2 linked regions of the Lepisosteus oculatus genome follow. The protein of the gene in region 2 binds, or shares a complex with, the protein of the main gene of each other region. Links are inferred from orthologs where the notes say so. Each region holds a gene or a part of one and is shown on either strand. Other genes may lie near its edges.

The links.
Region 1: the proteins of bcap31 (region 2) and fis1 are in contact, whole or in part, in a crystal structure (PDB 8XWX), measured with the Homo sapiens proteins. The link is inferred for Lepisosteus oculatus from reciprocal best matches to the Homo sapiens genes BCAP31 and FIS1. Residues at the interface, in NP_001132913.1 of Homo sapiens: Asp224, Leu227, Glu228, Ala231, Lys232, Ala235; in NP_057152.2 of Homo sapiens: Arg52, Val56, Glu59, Glu60, Pro63, Lys64, Lys89.

Annotation. Positions count from the first base shown.
Region 1 is NC_090698.1:7,461,754-7,470,184, reverse strand, and holds the start of fis1 (mitochondrial fission 1 protein), read right to left. Parts: upstream 4,058-8,431; 5' UTR 3,996-4,057; coding exon 3,951-3,995; intron 1,594-3,950; coding exon 1,461-1,593; intron 1,366-1,460; coding exon 1,289-1,365; intron 811-1,288; coding exon 705-810; intron 292-704; coding exon 194-291; 3' UTR 1-193. Other genes in the region: cytidine deaminase, read right to left, coding at 4,618-4,731, 5,211-5,268, 5,852-5,963, 6,885-7,007, 7,663-7,669. UniProt on the Homo sapiens protein: Involved in the fragmentation of the mitochondrial network and its perinuclear clustering. Plays a minor role in the recruitment and association of the fission mediator dynamin-related protein 1 (DNM1L) to the mitochondrial surface and mitochondrial fission.
Region 2 is NC_090697.1:76,379,155-76,387,653, reverse strand, and holds the start of bcap31 (B-cell receptor-associated protein 31), read left to right. Parts: upstream 1-4,893; 5' UTR 4,894-5,095; intron 5,096-5,307; exon of another isoform or gene 5,308-5,406; intron 5,407-6,794; exon of another isoform or gene 6,795-6,870; intron 6,871-7,075; 5' UTR 7,076-7,099; coding exon 7,100-7,191; intron 7,192-7,909; coding exon 7,910-8,010; intron 8,011-8,419; coding exon 8,420-8,499. Other genes in the region: slc35a2 (UDP-galactose translocator), read left to right, coding at 64-91. UniProt on the Homo sapiens protein: Functions as a chaperone protein. Is one of the most abundant endoplasmic reticulum (ER) proteins.

The sequences.
Region 1 (8,431 bases), on a different chromosome or scaffold from region 2:
CGGGGTGCGGCGGAGACAAAGCAGGAAGGGAATGAAGACACGTCTGCGCCTCTAAACTGCAACGAGCTGCTCTGCTGCTTGGTGTTCGGCCCAGATCCAGAGTGCTCTACAGCAGAGAGGTGGGGGTGGGGAGGTGGTTTTTAAAGGGAAGGGTGTGGCCATCTTCCACGGGAGCACATCCTTCTCTTGCTTGTTAGGACTTAGTCTTGGCCACAGCCAGTCCGATGAGACCCGCCAACCCAGCCACGCCTAGGCCGATTCCCCCGACGATCGCCATGCCCACCAGCCCGTCTGCAGGACCACAGAGAAACCAAAAATGAAAATTGCCACAAATCATATGTGTAACCGGCCTGTTGACGTACAGCTAATCCCCACTAAGGGAGAAGAACAGCAGCGTTGCTGTACCAGTAGTTGTGCTACATGTAAGTCTTTCAGATGTATTTCCCTGTGCTGTGCCCAACCACACAGAGTACTACGTCCTTTATTTCCATGCCCTCAATAGATCACTGCCCTGTTAGGCAGAGAAAGACTGAAACAACAGCTCATTTTTAAAAAAGACAAGAAGAATCACAGCACAGCAAATCCTTCGGATGAAACCTGTAGTCTAAATTCTTACACCAATAATGGCAGATTTTTTTTTTGCTAGCATCCTTGTACCCATCTGATCCCCTGACCCCAACCCCCCCTCCCCGTGGGGCCCCCACCTTTCTTCATGGCTTTGTCAATGAGCTTCTCCAGCTCCAGGGCCTGCGTGTTCCCTGGCTCCTTCTTCAGAAGCGTGCGGATGTACTTCAGACCCTTCTCGTATTCCTGAGCCCGGGGACAAAAGCACAAGGAGACTGAGCCACTCCGCACAACACTAAGAACACGTTTAACTCAATCGGCTGATGAGCAGCAGACTGGTTCCATTCAAGAAACAGCTGGATGAGACCCTCTGCTGAATGAGCTACATGCAAACCAAACAAGCCAGTTGAATCGAATCGTTTTGAACTTCTCTTCCATCCGTGTGCAATGGCGCCCCCTCTCGCGGCTGGATGAGGGAGCCCGTTCAACAGGCAGGGCTTTCAGCCAGAGTGTCCCATCCCAGACACTGGGATCTCGCAGATGGGCTCAACAGTGCCCATCTGGGAGGATGACTGCACAGGCCTCAAGCCTCCCACGCACAACACTCAATATTTACAGTATACCTTAACATGTTTATTGGTTTCCCTTTCCCTCCATTCATAAAATTGTATAATATTTTCCATACAACACACACTAATATTATTTCACAGTGATAAGAGCTCACCTTCAGTCTGTAGTTTGCCACTGCCAGGTAAAACAGGTAGTCTCTCTGGTCATCCTTTGTGCACTTAAGAACCAACTCTGGAAGAGATTTAAAAGAAACAACGACTCAACTTGAGCTGGAGGACGTGCTGCCAGACAGACTCGACTCTCTCTTCTGCTCCCTCCTCACTCACCTTCCAGGTGCCCGATGCCCTTCCTGATGTCGTCCGTGTACTTGCTCCGGACGAGGCACCAGGCGTACTCGAACTTGGTGTCCTTTGACACGCTGCCCTTCACCAGCTCCGCATTGTACTTCTTCTCGAACTTCTAACGGGAGGGAAACCACAGGGGAAACGTCAGCCAAGCTGGCGGATTCCTAGTGTCCCAGTGCTGCCCTCCTGCCCCACATGACTACAACAACGGGGCAGACAAGCCTGTATACCTCAACGGACAACACTCACAGCCAGGATTTATGCTATCCGTGTAAACCTTATGGGGCGGCACAGTGGTACAGTGGCACACTGGTTACCACTACTACTTTGCAACACTGGGACTGTAGGCTCAATTCCTGGGGTGCTGTCTGCATGGGGTTTTTATGTTTCTCCCCATGTTTAAATGGCTTTACTCCCACAGTCCAAAGACATGCTGGTAGGTTAACTGGCTTCAGGGAAAATGGGCCCTGGTGTGGGTGCGTGTGTTTGTGTCTGTGTGTGCCCTGTGATGGACTGGCGTCCTGCCCAGGGTGTACTCCGCCTTGGGCCAAATGATTGCCAGGATAGGCTACAGCTCCCCCGTGACCCCGAACTGAATAAAGCGGATAGAAAATGGGTGAAAGAAGGCAAATTGTATTTGGTTAGGATGACATAATCTTTCGTGTCACTTGCGTTAACTAGCAATGATAAACATGAGGAATAACGAGAAGATTTTTATGCAACCTTATAAAACAATCTGACACCCACTTCAGGCTTCAGAAGCCTATCAGCAGCCATATCACCCTGCAACTCACAACTGGCAGCCCACTGCAGCTCAGCAGGTGTGAGGCTGGTCAGCACCTGGATGGGAGACCTCCTGGGAAAAACTGAGGTTGCTGCTGGAAGAGGCGTAAATGGGGCCAGCAGGGGGCGCTCACCCTGCAGTCCATGTGGGTCCTAATGCCCCAGTGTAGTGACGGGGACACTATACTGTAAACAGGCGCCGTCCTTCGGCTGAGATGTAAAACCGAGGTCCTGATTCTCTGTTGTCATTAAAAATCCCAGGGTGTTTCTCGAAAAGAGTAGCGGTGTACCAAATAGGGCTGGCCAAATTTCCCATCGGCCTTTATCAATCATGGCCTCCTAACAATCCCCCTCTATAAATTGGCTTAATTCTCTGCTCTCCTCCCCACTGATCGCTGATGTGTGGTGAGCGTTCTGGCGCACTATGGCTGCCGTCGCATCATCCAGGTGGATGCTGCACATTGGTGGTGGTGGAGGGGACCATTGGGACCAATGGATACCATTACCTGTAAAGCGCTTTGAGTGGAGTGTCCAGAAAAGCACTATATAAGTGTAAGCAATTATTATTATTATTATTATTATTATTATCTATAAAGACTATCAGCTGAGTACTAGTGTCAGTTGAAACTGTACAGTGATTTCAGTGGTACAAATGTTTACAGCAGGAAACTTGCAAAAACAGATTTACCTGAAGCTGACATAATGCTGTGTGACACCGGAAAAGCACAATTCTAAATTGCGTCACGTCGTTGCCACAAGTGAACCTGGATCACGCACGTACTTGTCCGTAAAGACTACGAAACAGTACCAGCTGATATTACAAATCAAGTAGTTTGGAAATGAGCGAGAGAAAATAAAGATGACTCGGATTCTCATAAAATGTGCACGCCATCTTTTCCGATTTATAATACTTGAAACAGTTACTTTGCCTCATTAAATTTGAGCAAAACTCTTGTAATGCCAAGTTAAATACAATGATCACACACTACAACTACGGATAAATACGTCTTATTTATGTTATATTACGCAATCAGCGATATAAGTCTAAGACCTAACACAAGCCTAAATCATAAAGCTCGGAGATAAGTAACAGTGAGTGGAATTATGTATTGTAAGCAAAACTATTTCAGATTTAGTGTCCAATGGACTTTGATGCGAATTCCGGAGTCATAATTCTGGGGAGCTCTCGCGTCAGAACAGATTTATTTTAGATGACACGTAAGAAGAGTTTAGCCTTGTACTTGGGAACACAAAGGTTAAAAACAACACATCAATGAAAATATAAATAAAATAAGCCATAACTTTGTTTCCATTAGTTTTACAAAACACCTTAACCTTTGCATTTTAAAGTTGTATCCAATCACAACTGAGTCCCAGACACGCACAGAATCGCTTACATCTGATTTAAACATGTACATTAGTATATCTTGTCGTATCTCCATAACGCTGTACTGCTGTAAATATACCGTGTAGCTCTGTGACGTTGTTTCAACCAATTGACAGAAAACTCCTATCGTCCATCTTTGTTTGTTGACGTTGTGAAAAGTACAGACGGGCGTGTCTCTGGGCTCCCCAACTCACCCGCAGCTCGTTAGCAGTAATCCCCGACACAGCCTCACCGGGCTCAAACACTCCGCCACACTCGTTGACCATTTCAGGAAACAACTCGTAAGAAAGAGAAACACTCACCAGTAAATCTTCAGGAGCCACGACTTCACTCACTACAGCCTCCATGTTTCCGGAAACAGTAATACGCAACTGCCGGAAGTCCAGTGAGACCACGTGCTACCGTAATGCTAGTAAATGTAGGAGACCTCAATTTGCTTGAGGATACGCTTTGGATAGAACCGTCGGACTTTAGCGTGTCATATAGAATTAAAACAAAGACTTAAACATTGAAAGAAGTTCAATCATTTTATTTTTTTTTATTTCTTTAATTATTTTTTTTAATTCTTAATTTTTGTTATTTCTTTTCTTAAGTCCATTTTTAGTGACTCTCAGTTCACAGGGTTCACAGGGTTCACTGATTACCTAGTGATGGGGTAAGGAGTTCAGAGTCCAGAGTTGAAGGATAAGATAAGATCACTTTATTTGCCCTATACAATTTTTTGCATTAGGAATTTGTCTTTTTACATACCCCAGCTTGCTCTCCATGAGACACACAGACAGGGAGAGAAGCTTGGGGTCAGAGTGCAGGGTCAGCCATTTATACAGCACCCTTGGAGCAGTTGGGGTTAAGGGCATTGCTTAGGGGCCCAACGGAGTAGGATTGCCGGCCGTTGGATTTGAGTCAGCCACAGGTGCAGATCCTGAGCCACAGAGCCACCGCTCCGCCTGAGCAGGGGGAGGGGCTGTGTTATTTCCTGCCCAGGTGCGAGGGAGAGAAGGCCAGGGGCAGCAGGTCCAGCAGGCTGGTCTTCCTGAAGGAGCTGTCCGGCTTGACAAGGTACACATCCCACTGCTGGCCAAACTGCCAACACAGGGAACACAGCGGGCTTTATCACTGCGTCTGGAGAGCCGAACCGATCCACAATCCCCGGCGCTCCACTCTAACCCACTGCCTCAGGGCCAGCTCTGAAACAAGGACCTGAGCAGTTTGTTTAGGCCTGAGAACGATTGACCACTACACCAAGGGCGGTGGGTGTCGGCCTGATTGTTGAAAATGTTTCCAGAAACAATTGGATAAGATTTGTTGGTCAACAAACTATGCTAGCTAGCAAAGAAGTGAACTTCTTTTCATTTTTTTGTAAAGTGCATTGTGTCAGACGTGCCCATGAGACTGTCTCCATTTCGAGCAGCATCTCTGCTGAGATGTGCTCCAAGTACTCCATAATGGTCACTTTCCCTATGGATGGTATAGCCCAGGTACTCATGAAAGCTCTGAAAAGCCCCATGAGCTGGGAATAGCCCCTCCATCACCTACCCTACAGCCCTCACTCACACACGTACCTCCAGCAGCACCTGTCTGCAGGCCCCGCAGGGTCCCACGAAGCTGTCCTCAACGTCACTGCAGAGCACAGACACCAGAGCACTATGAGGAGGAAGCAATTGCTCAGCAGGGTGCAGACCCGCCCAGCCACTCATGTTCAAGAGCGCCTTTTATTGGTTTGTTCAGATAGGACACTGGAGCATATCAGCAGAAACATGGATACTTTATAATAATTCCTTACACTTATGTATCGCTTTTTCTGGACACTCCACTCAAAGTGATTTACAGGTAATGGGGACTCCCCTCTAGCACCTCCAGTGTGCAGCCCCACCTGGATGATGCACCAGTACTCTCCCCACACACCAGCTCTCGGTGGGGAAGAGAACAGAGTGATGAAGCCAGTTCAGAGATGGGGATTATTATGAGGCCATGACTGGTAAAGGCCAATGGGAAATTTTGCCTGGACGCCAGGTACTGTAACACCTCAACTCTTTTAGAGAAACACCCTGGGATTTTTAATGACCACAGAGAGGTTTACTGAGAAAAAGTGTCTAGCAAAAGGAAGTGGCCAGGTCGCTAGGTATGAACAGATTTCCAAGAAACCAGGACAGTTCTCCCTCACCCGGTTGGTATGGCTTTTACCACAGACGGCGCTGATTACCAAGTGACAGCGATGGCGGTGAATTCGGTGTAGCCCTCTGCCACGGCTCTCTGCACAGCTGTCCTCTCTGCGCACACCGACAGTCCGTAGGAGGCGTTCTCCACATTGCACCCTGTAGCAGACACCCCCCCACACACACACACACACACACACACACACACACACACACACACACACACACACACACACACACACACACACACAAGACGTCAGGTTTGTGAAGGAGATCCATAGAGGAGAGGAGTGAAGGAAACTACTCTCCTCTATGGGCCTAGGTCCTCCTGCTGGCCACCACAACATCACAGATTTGTAGCCTTGCACTCTTTTAGGAAGAAGAAAAGCTGCTTTTATTGCACATTTACTCAACCTGGGGGGGATCAGAATGTCAGAGAATGGTATTTCATTGGAATGACCCATCTTGTCCAAAGTAGTGGGAACACTAAGGGCTGTGAAGTAGCAGCAAACCCGGCATGTTCCTCGGCTGTGGGAGGAAAGGCAATCTTTCCAATCTAAGCGATCTGGAGGAGTGTCTTGGCGGCTCGGATGGCTGATCGAGTCGATTCAGGAAGCCTCAAGGGTTTATACGCAGTGGTTTGCGTATTTATAAATAACAAACACCAACAGGAAGTGTGATTCAAACCACAAGAAGCTACTGAGCTGTTACCCACAAGCAAACTGCCAACTGCTCATATTGCCACAGTCAAACTGCTACTAACTAGTGAAACCAACACTACAGATGTCCCCTGGAAGTGGATAACCTTCTATGAGAGGAGATCTCTAGGTTTACTGTTTCGGTAGGATGTATGGATGTTTGGACTGATAGATCAGGCAAGACTGATAGATGTGTCAAACCTGCACTGTCACTTCTTTATAAGCACCATCTCCAGTATTTCCCAGCGAAATGCGGTAGCTACTACACTATCACCTCTGACAGTAACAACAGAAGCAAAGTCATCGCGCGCTTTGTCTTAAAAGGTACTTATCGCCAGCAGCGCACACTGACGTGCAATCTGAGCCCGCCCCCTGCTCTCACCTGTGATCACAGCGCCCTCTGTGGTCAGCAGCGCGGCGCCCACGGGGAAGTGGCTGTAGGGACAGTAGGCGAAGCCGCGAGCCGCGAGGCACTTGGACACCAGCTCCTTGACCGCGGCGGAGTCTGTGCGGAGAGAGAGTGGCGCGTGTCACAGCATCTGCGCCGGACAACCTGTCCGCCGGTTAAAGGCACAGAGCGTCTGCCTCTTCCTCTCTTCTCAGAGCTCATCCACACCGCGCGGCTGTGCTTGTTCAGAAGTGTAACGCCCCACTTTTACTGGGCCCTTATCATAAGAAAATATGAGCAACGCTGACGTATAAATAAAGATCACGGATGGGAGATTTATATGAGATTCAGATCAGGATATATAGTCCAGAATTCCTTTTACGTGATTCCCTATTTCAAACATCCTGCTTGTTATAATAATATTTAATATGTTAAGATCATTTGCCTGGCTTCAATTCCTGGGCTGCTATCTGCATGGAGTTTGCATGTTCTCCCAGTGGGTTCCCTGCGGGTTTTCCAGTTTCCACCCCACAGTCCGAAAGACATACTGGTAGGTCAATTGGTTTCTGGGAAGACCGGCCCTGGTGTGTGTGTGTCCTGCGATGGACTGGCGTCCCTCCCAGGGTGCACCCTGCCCTGTGCCCTCTGCTTGTTTTGATACGTTCCGGCTCCCCTGGGGATCCCGAGCCGGAAAAAGCAGTTAAAAATTGGATGGGTGGAAGATTTCAATTCAATTCAAAATACTTTATTCGTCCCCATGGGAGCAATTTACCTGTCATGTTACTCAATGTCTTCCTCTGGTGCTGGAAAAAAACTCACTTTCCCTGGAAAATAAACAACTGTACATAGTATATTAGAACATCAGGAATGTTACAAATGGGACAGGGCTATGCAGATCATCATGCTCATATGGTTGCTACAATATTTGTTTCAACAACCTGATTCTGTAGCTTGTTCCAGACTCCTGCAATCCTATGTGTAAAGAAATTCCCCCTGTTCTCAGTATTAGAGGCACTTAACTGTATTTTCCACTTGTGTTGTTGGTGTTTCATGGCTGATTCGGAGACTTTGAATGTTTCAATAAAACTTTAACAATACATTCCTAGAATTCTTTTCTCAGGTTACATATTACATTGGTGCTCCCTTATTTCTGTGTAAACATCTTTTAAAAGCTAACCAGTTAGCACTGCTGAGACACAGGTGGAAATCTCTCTAGCACTTGCACACACAAAAAAGGCTCTGTGTATTCTGAAAAAGGCCCAGTTACCCACAAATGAGCTCAGGGCAGATGTTAATTACCAATCCCAATAGAACTTCAGAGCCTTAAACAATCAATGAGATTTGACCAAATCGGTCTCATTCAGAGCTCAACCAGAAAAAATGGACACTATTAACATAGCAACACATTATAAGTGCATATCAACTTTTCCTACCTTTCTCCTGAATCCTCGAATTAAGTGATCTTTTGTGTTTCCTGCTGTGTGTGGTCCTTGTGTGTCAGGCTGCACCACAGTTTAAAGTCCATTGACCCCTGTCGTTAA
Region 2 (8,499 bases):
CCAGTCGGACCTGTTGAACTGGACGTGGCTTCCTGACGAGTGTGTCTTCTCCTCTGCTCACAGGCACCTGGGAAAGGAAAAAGGCTGCTGATGATTGGTCAGAGTTCTGAGGAGTGGGGCAGGGCCGCTACCCAAACAGTCCCCCCCTGATCACGTGACACAGAGAGCAGCTGGAGGGGCGAGTTTGAAATCACACGTACCTTCAACTCAGCATTGATTGTTGGCTCAGATCACTGGGCTGTGAAGCCTTCCTGGTTGAAGAAGGAGGTGAGTCTTTCAGCAGGGAAAAGAAGCACCTCCCATGTGATGCCTTAATGAAAAGAAAAACTCTGATGCTACCAAACGTGTTCATCATTATTTTTCTAATCAAGATTCCATGTATTCTTAAATCCTGCTTTTGGCTTGCACTCTAAACTCCAGCTGATATCCAAAAGGTCGTCTCTGAAATATCCACGTGTACTGGACAATGTATGACAGGGAGGGTATGTCGGTTCTGCCTAAATTTTATTGCTCTTTCTAAGCAACTACTGCATTCACAATAGCTAAAACGGACAGGTCAGGGGTTCAGGGGTTGCAAGTGTGCAATGGAAGGGCCAGTTGTGTGTTTTTCACATCTCCACTTCAAAAACGGTCAACTGGGACAGTTTCCATCTGGCTTCCAAACTGTCAAGCGCTGTGGCGTGCTCCTTGTGGAAGTGGCGTGGTACTGTCTCTTTTGTCAGGGTTTGTATGACTCCAGAACAGCAGAAGGGTTGTAAAAGACAGGAGGCCGTTTTAGCTTGAACTACTGGTTTGGCCTCACCCAGCCGCTCCTCGAATGGCCCTGCCTTTAATGCCTTAGCCTGGCGGTTGGTTCCAGGAGCAGAGGGGAAATTCAGCGTGAAGACGTGCCACCTGTTCTCTGTCCTGAAGGCAGGCCCAGTGCATGCGATTTGTTTTTGTATCTGGTTCAAATCCCCCAGCGATCTCCTTTATTCAGAACTAAAGAGAGGTGGTTGCTCTAACCTGTCTGTCGTGCTATACCACTGGCACCAGCTGCGTCACGGACAGTATGAGGCAAGAGCAGGTGTTGCACTTCTGCATCTCTGTTAGTGGAGAATGCACTTTGCCCACTCGACAGTGTTATGGGTCAACGAAACAGCTGTCGCTTTTGTAAAGCTATGGAGTGAACATGGGTGTCTCGAGTGTATGTTTTTAATAATAATGTCTTATAATCTGAACAAATCAACAAAGAACAGTTTTGCTGCCTAAACCATTTCGAAGTCACCTGTGCAAAATCTTTATTGTAAAACCTAGCTCTCATTTCAAACACTCCGGACCTGAACTCCCCAGGTGAACTTTTCTAGCAGGCTTGGAGATGGTGGGCTAAGTGCTCTGGCTGGAATGACCTTTATGCTGATGTACAAATTCTGGAGAAAAAAAAAAATCATCACCAGTAATGTTCAGCATTGTAAAGCACTCCAAAAATACCTTTTCTGGCTCTCATTTCTATGTATTGATGTGTTGTATCTGCTCCTCCAAGAACGAGAGAGAGAGCAAAGACGTTTGACCACAGCTCTAGTCTTGTGGTTTGGGTACATACAGCTACAGCGTTGTAAGAATAGTTCTTGTATTTTTCTGAAGTTTTATACTAAAAAAAATCCATACATGATAATACAATACAATACATACAATGATAAGTTAATACTTATGTCTTAACTATTAAAACAGCGCTAGTACCTCAGACCGATGCTTTCCAGTGTACCGCAGTGTTTCGTAGTGAAGTAGCTTTTTACAGACGCTCACATGTAATTGGCCAATTTGACCAGCAGAGGTCTCTGTTTTACTACATTCGTTCCTATACACTAAAGGCCATTTTCGTTTGGGTGTTACTGAATAACTTAAATTACTTTGGATTTAATAATAATAATAATAATTGCTTACACTTATATAGCACTTTTTTCTGGACACTCCACTCAAAGAGCTTTACAGGTAATGGGGATCCCCTCCACCTCCACCAGTGTGCAGCCCCACCTGGATGATGTGACAGCAGCCATAGTGCGCCAGTCCTCTCCCCACACAGCAGCTCTCAGAGAGCAGAGTAACGAAGCCAGTTCAGAGAGGGGGGTTATTAGGAGGCCATGATTGGTAAGGGCCAATGGGAAATTTGGCTAGAATGCTGGGGTAACACCCCTACTCTTTTCGAGAGACACTCTGGGATTTTTAATGACCACAGAGAGTCAGAACCTCGGTGTTATATCTCATCCAAAGGATGGTGCCTGTTTACAGTACAGTGTCCCCATCACTATACTAGGGCATTAGGACCCACATGGACCACAGGGTGAGCGCCCCCTGCTGACCCCACTAACACCTCTTCCAGCAGCAGCCTTAGTTTTTCCCAGGAGTCTCCCATCCAGGTACTGACCAGGCTCACACCTGCTGAGCTTCAGTGGGCTGCCAGTTGTGAGCTGCAGATATGGCTGCTGGCTGATTTGACTTGGAGACACGTGTTCTGCTGACAGTTGCATGCACACAGCTCTCCAGACTATAAGCTGCACAAACATGTGATGCACGAGGGAGAAACATATATTTTCAATACACTACTATCACAGTTTCTGATGCCATTTTAAGAAAAGTGATCTATATACTATGTATATATTTACACAAAATTAACTGTTCAATACTCTTCTAGTCAAATTATATTTTTTACTTAAGAGGGTATACAACCGAAATTACGTCGTCAACACAAATTAGTTTTAAAATTATATTTTTCTAACTATTTTATTAACTCTATATTATTAAACTCAAACGCAATGCAAGACCATTGTTTTTGTCCACTGGATTTCACCTCTGTTCTATTGTACTTAGCAATTTTGCAAAGATGTGTTTCTTTATGCAAACTTACTCAGTTCAGGTACAAAAAAATAACACAGCACAAAATTCGTCAGATAAATTCTTTGCTTTTGTGGATGCTTATTCAAACAGACACTGTTTTGCAGATTTTGTTGAAGGAAGATTGTTTTACTTGGTGAACCAACACAGGGTTTACTATGTCTGTTACAAATGGCATCATGGTTAAAAGACATTTAACCTTCAGTTTCCCTGACTGTGTCTGGGTAGTGGCCTCTCCTCATTTTTCAAATGACTGGCTTGGAAGAGCTGTGACAGAGCAGCCTTCTAATCATTTATATTTAACATTAATATATATATTTTATTCTGTAACCTGTATATTTGTAGAGCCCAGTGAACACATTTTGTAGCTGCCAGTATTTAATCCTAGACTGAATAAGCAACTTTTAGAAAAGTATTTTAAGTGAATCCTTGAATATTTATTGACTAGGGTCACTTGACATTTCCAGAATGCTGGCCTGTTTTGCAAGGTTTGCAGTATTAGGTCTCTTTAGTGGTGCTTGCAATTTTACTGACAGTATTTGTCTCTGATTTGTCCTTATCTGTTTATGTCAAGACTTGGAACTGTTTCTGGAGTGAAGGAAACAGCTGTTCTGTAACTGTTATCATTATTGTTAAATTGTTTTTTTTTTCTGTATTGCTGAATGTAGTTAGACCTCAGTGCTTCTGTCAGATCACTGGGATGCAAACATAATGTATGCTTTACTGACACACAGAGACTTTAAAACCCTTTTCAGAACTTGCATTTGAAGGAGTCTTGTAAGAAAGCCTTTAATAAAAAAACAGCTTGTTGTGTCAAACATGTTTTGTGTAATATGTTTATCAGATTTTCTACCCCTGTTACATCTTAGCAAAGGGAAGGCAATTTCTATCAAGGTGACAAAGTATCACAATCCTGGCCAGAGGACGAGGAGGCTGGGACCCCCTGCGGACTGAGGGGGGCCCAGGGGCGGCTGCAGGGGGAGGTGGGGAGCAGGAGGGGTGCAGGAGGCGTGTGTGAGGGAGAGGGGGGGACCTCGTCCGGTCTTTATAGTGCTTCAGGAGAGGAAATGACATCACGAGTGACTGCTAATTACTGACAGCTGAGTCTGATTGTACTGGGCTGTTGTCATCCATCCCAAACTTTCGTTGTGAACTCCATTCATTAAATTAGTCTGTGCAGCACAGGTGTGGCTCCTTTTCTGTTCAGTTGTATGGATAGTATATTTTCTGCTTTGTCAACCTTTTCTCTGTGTTTTTCTGCCTCCTATCTGGAATGTACAGGGTGAATTAATCCTTTCAAGAGTCATTTACCCTAATTCAGTGCTTATATGAAGGAGTACTCTCTCAGTGGTGCCTACCAAGAAAATCTTCTTTCATCCATGCGATGTAAATTATTGTCCAGGAAAAGATCATTTGTTCCAAACCCCTGAATAATCCTTATTTTTTATAATCCCTCTCATCACTTACGTCATTTTGCTGTTCTCCCGTCATTCACCGTGGGCTATTAAAGCAATGCTCCTGGCAAGAGCACTTTGTGTTCTCTGAAGCGCTGGTTTCCTAATTCTAATGTTCTCAAGTACAGCACGTACACATGATAAACGTCAGGTGATGATTTCAGATCCTCACAACTCTGTGCGTTTCATTAGAAAAAAAAAACTTGAGCCGCACCTGCAAACATCCTGCAGGATCAGAATTCCGTATCCTGTAGAAATATTTGTTTTTTCTCTTCGGTAAATTTTAGGATCCCTAAAACAGACCGTCAAGATAAATGTATGGTTCTTGTTGACAGCGTTGTATAACATCTGTAAGGGGCAGAACATACATAGGTGCGCATTCCAAAACACGTATGCACATACTAGAAATTAAGAAGTGAACCCCGAGAAGTGGAAATTAAGATTCCGCATTCTGTTTATACAGCTCTTCATTGCCACCATGAGGTGATACAGCAATACTACCATTCAATACAGTATTTTTATTTTTTGGCAGCTTGCCACGCCCCCTCGTTTTTCTCCTTCCGGGGTTATGTCGTGTCTCTGGCTTCTCCTTCCCGGGTCAGAGTTCAGTGTTTGCACTGTATGGTCTGTTGATGAGCTGGAGTTTGCAGACAGGACATTCCCGGAGCAAAACTGAGAACAGAGTATTTTGTATTACAATACAATAAGGACTCGACAACCTAAAAGCTCAACGGCGAAAACAACGAAAGCTCATTCATCAGTGGAGAAAGGTGAGTGTCACGGCAATGACTCTGCGTTTGTGAGTGATTTAATGATGAAACGATGGGAGTGAAGGTTTAAATTAGCTACGTCGCAATAAAATGTTTTGTGACGTTTAATCACCAAGCCACTTAACACTATAATTAATTATGCCTGTTTATGATTATAAAGCTTTTTAATTTAATCAGCTAAATTACTGATCTCATTGCATGTAATGTCGTCACTTACTGCTGACCAATCCGAAATGTCACATGAACGCATAAACGCAGTTCTCTAAAAAGGGCGTGGTGTGGTTGACTACCTTCATACTTCGAATACAAAAGTAAGATATTGAAACAGCTGTGTGCATTTTCATAATTTTAATATTTCACCACCAGTATCGTGATCCGAAGAGAAGAGTTCAGGAGGCGTGTTCGCTGTTATCAGTCGCGCAGTTTCGACAGTGCTCTGTGCTGCGGACTTCAGCCCGGAACTGTAGACTTGGCTCCTGACGGGATATATGTTCAGTGCCTGGAGTCGCTACCTTTCTCGCCCTGTGGGAACTGATACTTGGTTTCTATCGGTGCAAAACAGGTGCCCAGCCATTAGAAAAACAAAAGACAAACATCCACAATTTGCAGTTTCTCTTACAGTGTCGGAATATTAATACAATTTCATAGACGGCACAGACCTGTTTATGCAATAAGGCTAAAGAGGGATATTTATATATATATATGCGTTAGTGTAATTTAAAATTAGGGCGACAGCACCTGGGATTAGGGCGGATACTAACTAAGTTTAACGTCTCTATGCAAATATGTGAAAAGGGTGACCTGTTTGAAATAGGCAGCCCCTGATGAGGGTTAATTTGAAAGCCTGCTGCTAATGTTTGAAGCCAGCCATGGCGCTGTGGAAGGGGCGGGAGCTTTGGTGCGTATGTAGGGGGGTGGGGCTTATAATGTTACGTAGTCGGATTGGACAGCAGCGTAGGGGCGGGGTCTGTGGTGTGCGGTGGTTTGTTTTCCTGGGCTGAGTCTAGATCAAACTAAATCAAATCCAAGGTGCCCAGCATTTCATGATGTTGATATTAAGAAATCTGTAATGATAACAAAAACAACTCCCAGCTTCCAAATCACCCTGCACCTCACAACTGGCAGCCCCCTGAAGCTCAGCAGCTGTGAGCCTGGCCAGTACCTGGATGGGAGACCTCCTGGGAAAGCTCAGGCTTCTGCTGGAAGAGGTGTTAGTGGGACCAGTAGGTTGCGCTCACCTTACAGTCTCTGTGGGTCCTAATGCCCCAGTTAAAGACAGGGGCACTATACTGTAAAAAGGCCCAGATGAGACGTAAAACTGAGGTCCTGACTATGGTCATTAAAAATCCCAGGGAGTTTCTCGAAAAGACTAGGGATGTTATTCCAATGTCCTGGCCTTTACCAATCATGGCCTCCTAATAACCCCCATCTCTGATCTGGCTTCATCACTCTGCTCTCCTCCCCACTGAGAGCTGCTGTGTGGGGAGAAGACTGGAGCATCATCCAGGTGGGGCTGCACACTGGTGGGGATGGAGGGGATCCCCATTTCCTGTAAAGCGCTGTGAGTGGAGTGTCCAGAAAAGCGTTATATAAGTGTAAGAAATTACTATAAATTATTATGAGATTTCTTTAACAAGTGAACACCCTGTTTTCCTGTTCCGTGGCCTGACAGGAGATGGCGCCGTTGCACTGCTGTGGGCCTGAGACTGATCTCCTGTGGCAGTTGTGCTCAGTGGAGCTGGGTGTGAACAAGCCCATTACAATGCACCCCCACTGTGAGTTGTAGGCAGCAGTAATGAGCACCCTGGGCCCTGGTTTTCGCTAACGCCTTTTTAGCAACCCCAGAAAACAGGACGTGCTTTACAGCTGTGGCCCCAGCACCCTTCTTGATGGCTCCCTGTGGCGATCTGGCCTTCGCAGCACCTTGCCCCCGGCCCCCCCGTTCAAGGGTTGTGACGGTGCCTCTCGTGTCCCCCGCAGCGTGAGAGCCGACAGCCCGAGACGATGAGTCTGCAGTGGACGGCCGTCGCCACCTTCCTGTACGCGGAGGTCTTCGCCGTGCTGCTGCTCTGCGTGCCCTTCATCTCCCCGACCAGGTAACCCCCAGCTCGACCGCTGCGGACATCTTCCAGCAGGCCCAGCGGAAAAACACCCGAGAGCCCTTTCCTGCTGTGTGCTTGTGGACCGAAGGCCAGAGAATTGTCAGAAAGGACAGCAGCTCCCGAGCCTGTCCGGTCAGAGAGCGAGCAGGACTAAAGGACAGAGGAGCCAAATTCTGGGCAAGGGCGGACTGATTGTGCATCATCATTCGCTGTGAAAGCCTCTAGATGTTGTGCATCAGAATTAAGCGAGAGTGCTGAGCTGCGATTGAAAGGCTGTTAGAATGGAAACGGGTTGTGCATATTCATCTGAATTTAATGGTTGAATGTTTCCATGGTGGTTAAGGTGTTGTTCCTTGTTTGCCCACTTGCTCATATTGTGGACTTACTCCGTGCTTTCTGTCACTATACAGCTGTGGGGACTGAAGCAGTTGCCTTTGTGACTTTGTTAGAAAGTACAACACAAAAGGGAACCTATGTGGAACTGCCCCTTCCCTTTTCAGAACAGCTTTCAGTTTAAGAACCTGTGCATTGCTAGTGTTATGGGGCAGCTTGCTGCAGAACTCAGCTCTTCCCCTGGTGGGCCTTGTGCAGCTCTCATGTGCGTGCGTGTGTGTGTGTGAGAGAATGTGTGTGTGTGGGCGCACGTGTGTGCATGCTCAGAGTTGCATGCTGCAGCCAGTTCCTCACAGTCTTGTCTGTCTCCCTCTGGCAGATGGAATAAGATCTTCAAGTCTCGTCTGGTGAAGGCCATCACAACATACGGCAACACCTACTTTGTGGTGCTGATCCTCATTCTGGTCTTTCTGCTCATTGGTGAGTGTTGCCGACCCTAGTGGCAAGGAGGAGGAGGTGCCGGGGCGTCCTACCCTACTACAGGGGCTCCTTGATTGCAGTTCTGGCTGTTAAAGAAGTAACTGTAGAGCAGGGCTGCTGAAGGTGTGACTCTAAAACCGGATTCTTCATTAACTGATTGTTGTCAGGATCAATTTAATAATTAATGAGCTGGTTATATGAAAGCGCATAACAAGGGTTGCAAAGCAGAGGAGGCGATTTGGCCCGTTGAGCACGATAAACAGTGGAAGTCTGTGTCAGGGAGTCTGTCCCCTGTCTCTCTGATGTCTTAGGCACTGACATCACCCTTGTGTCTGCGAGTGATGTTGGGCAGATGTGTGTGAATTAGAAACCTGGAGTTCTCTCTCTGACTCCGTGTTTCCGTGCCCAGATGCCGGGCGGGAGGTGAGGAAGTACAGCGTGACGGAGAAGGTGGATCTGACCAACAACCCGGTGGCTGTGGAGCACATC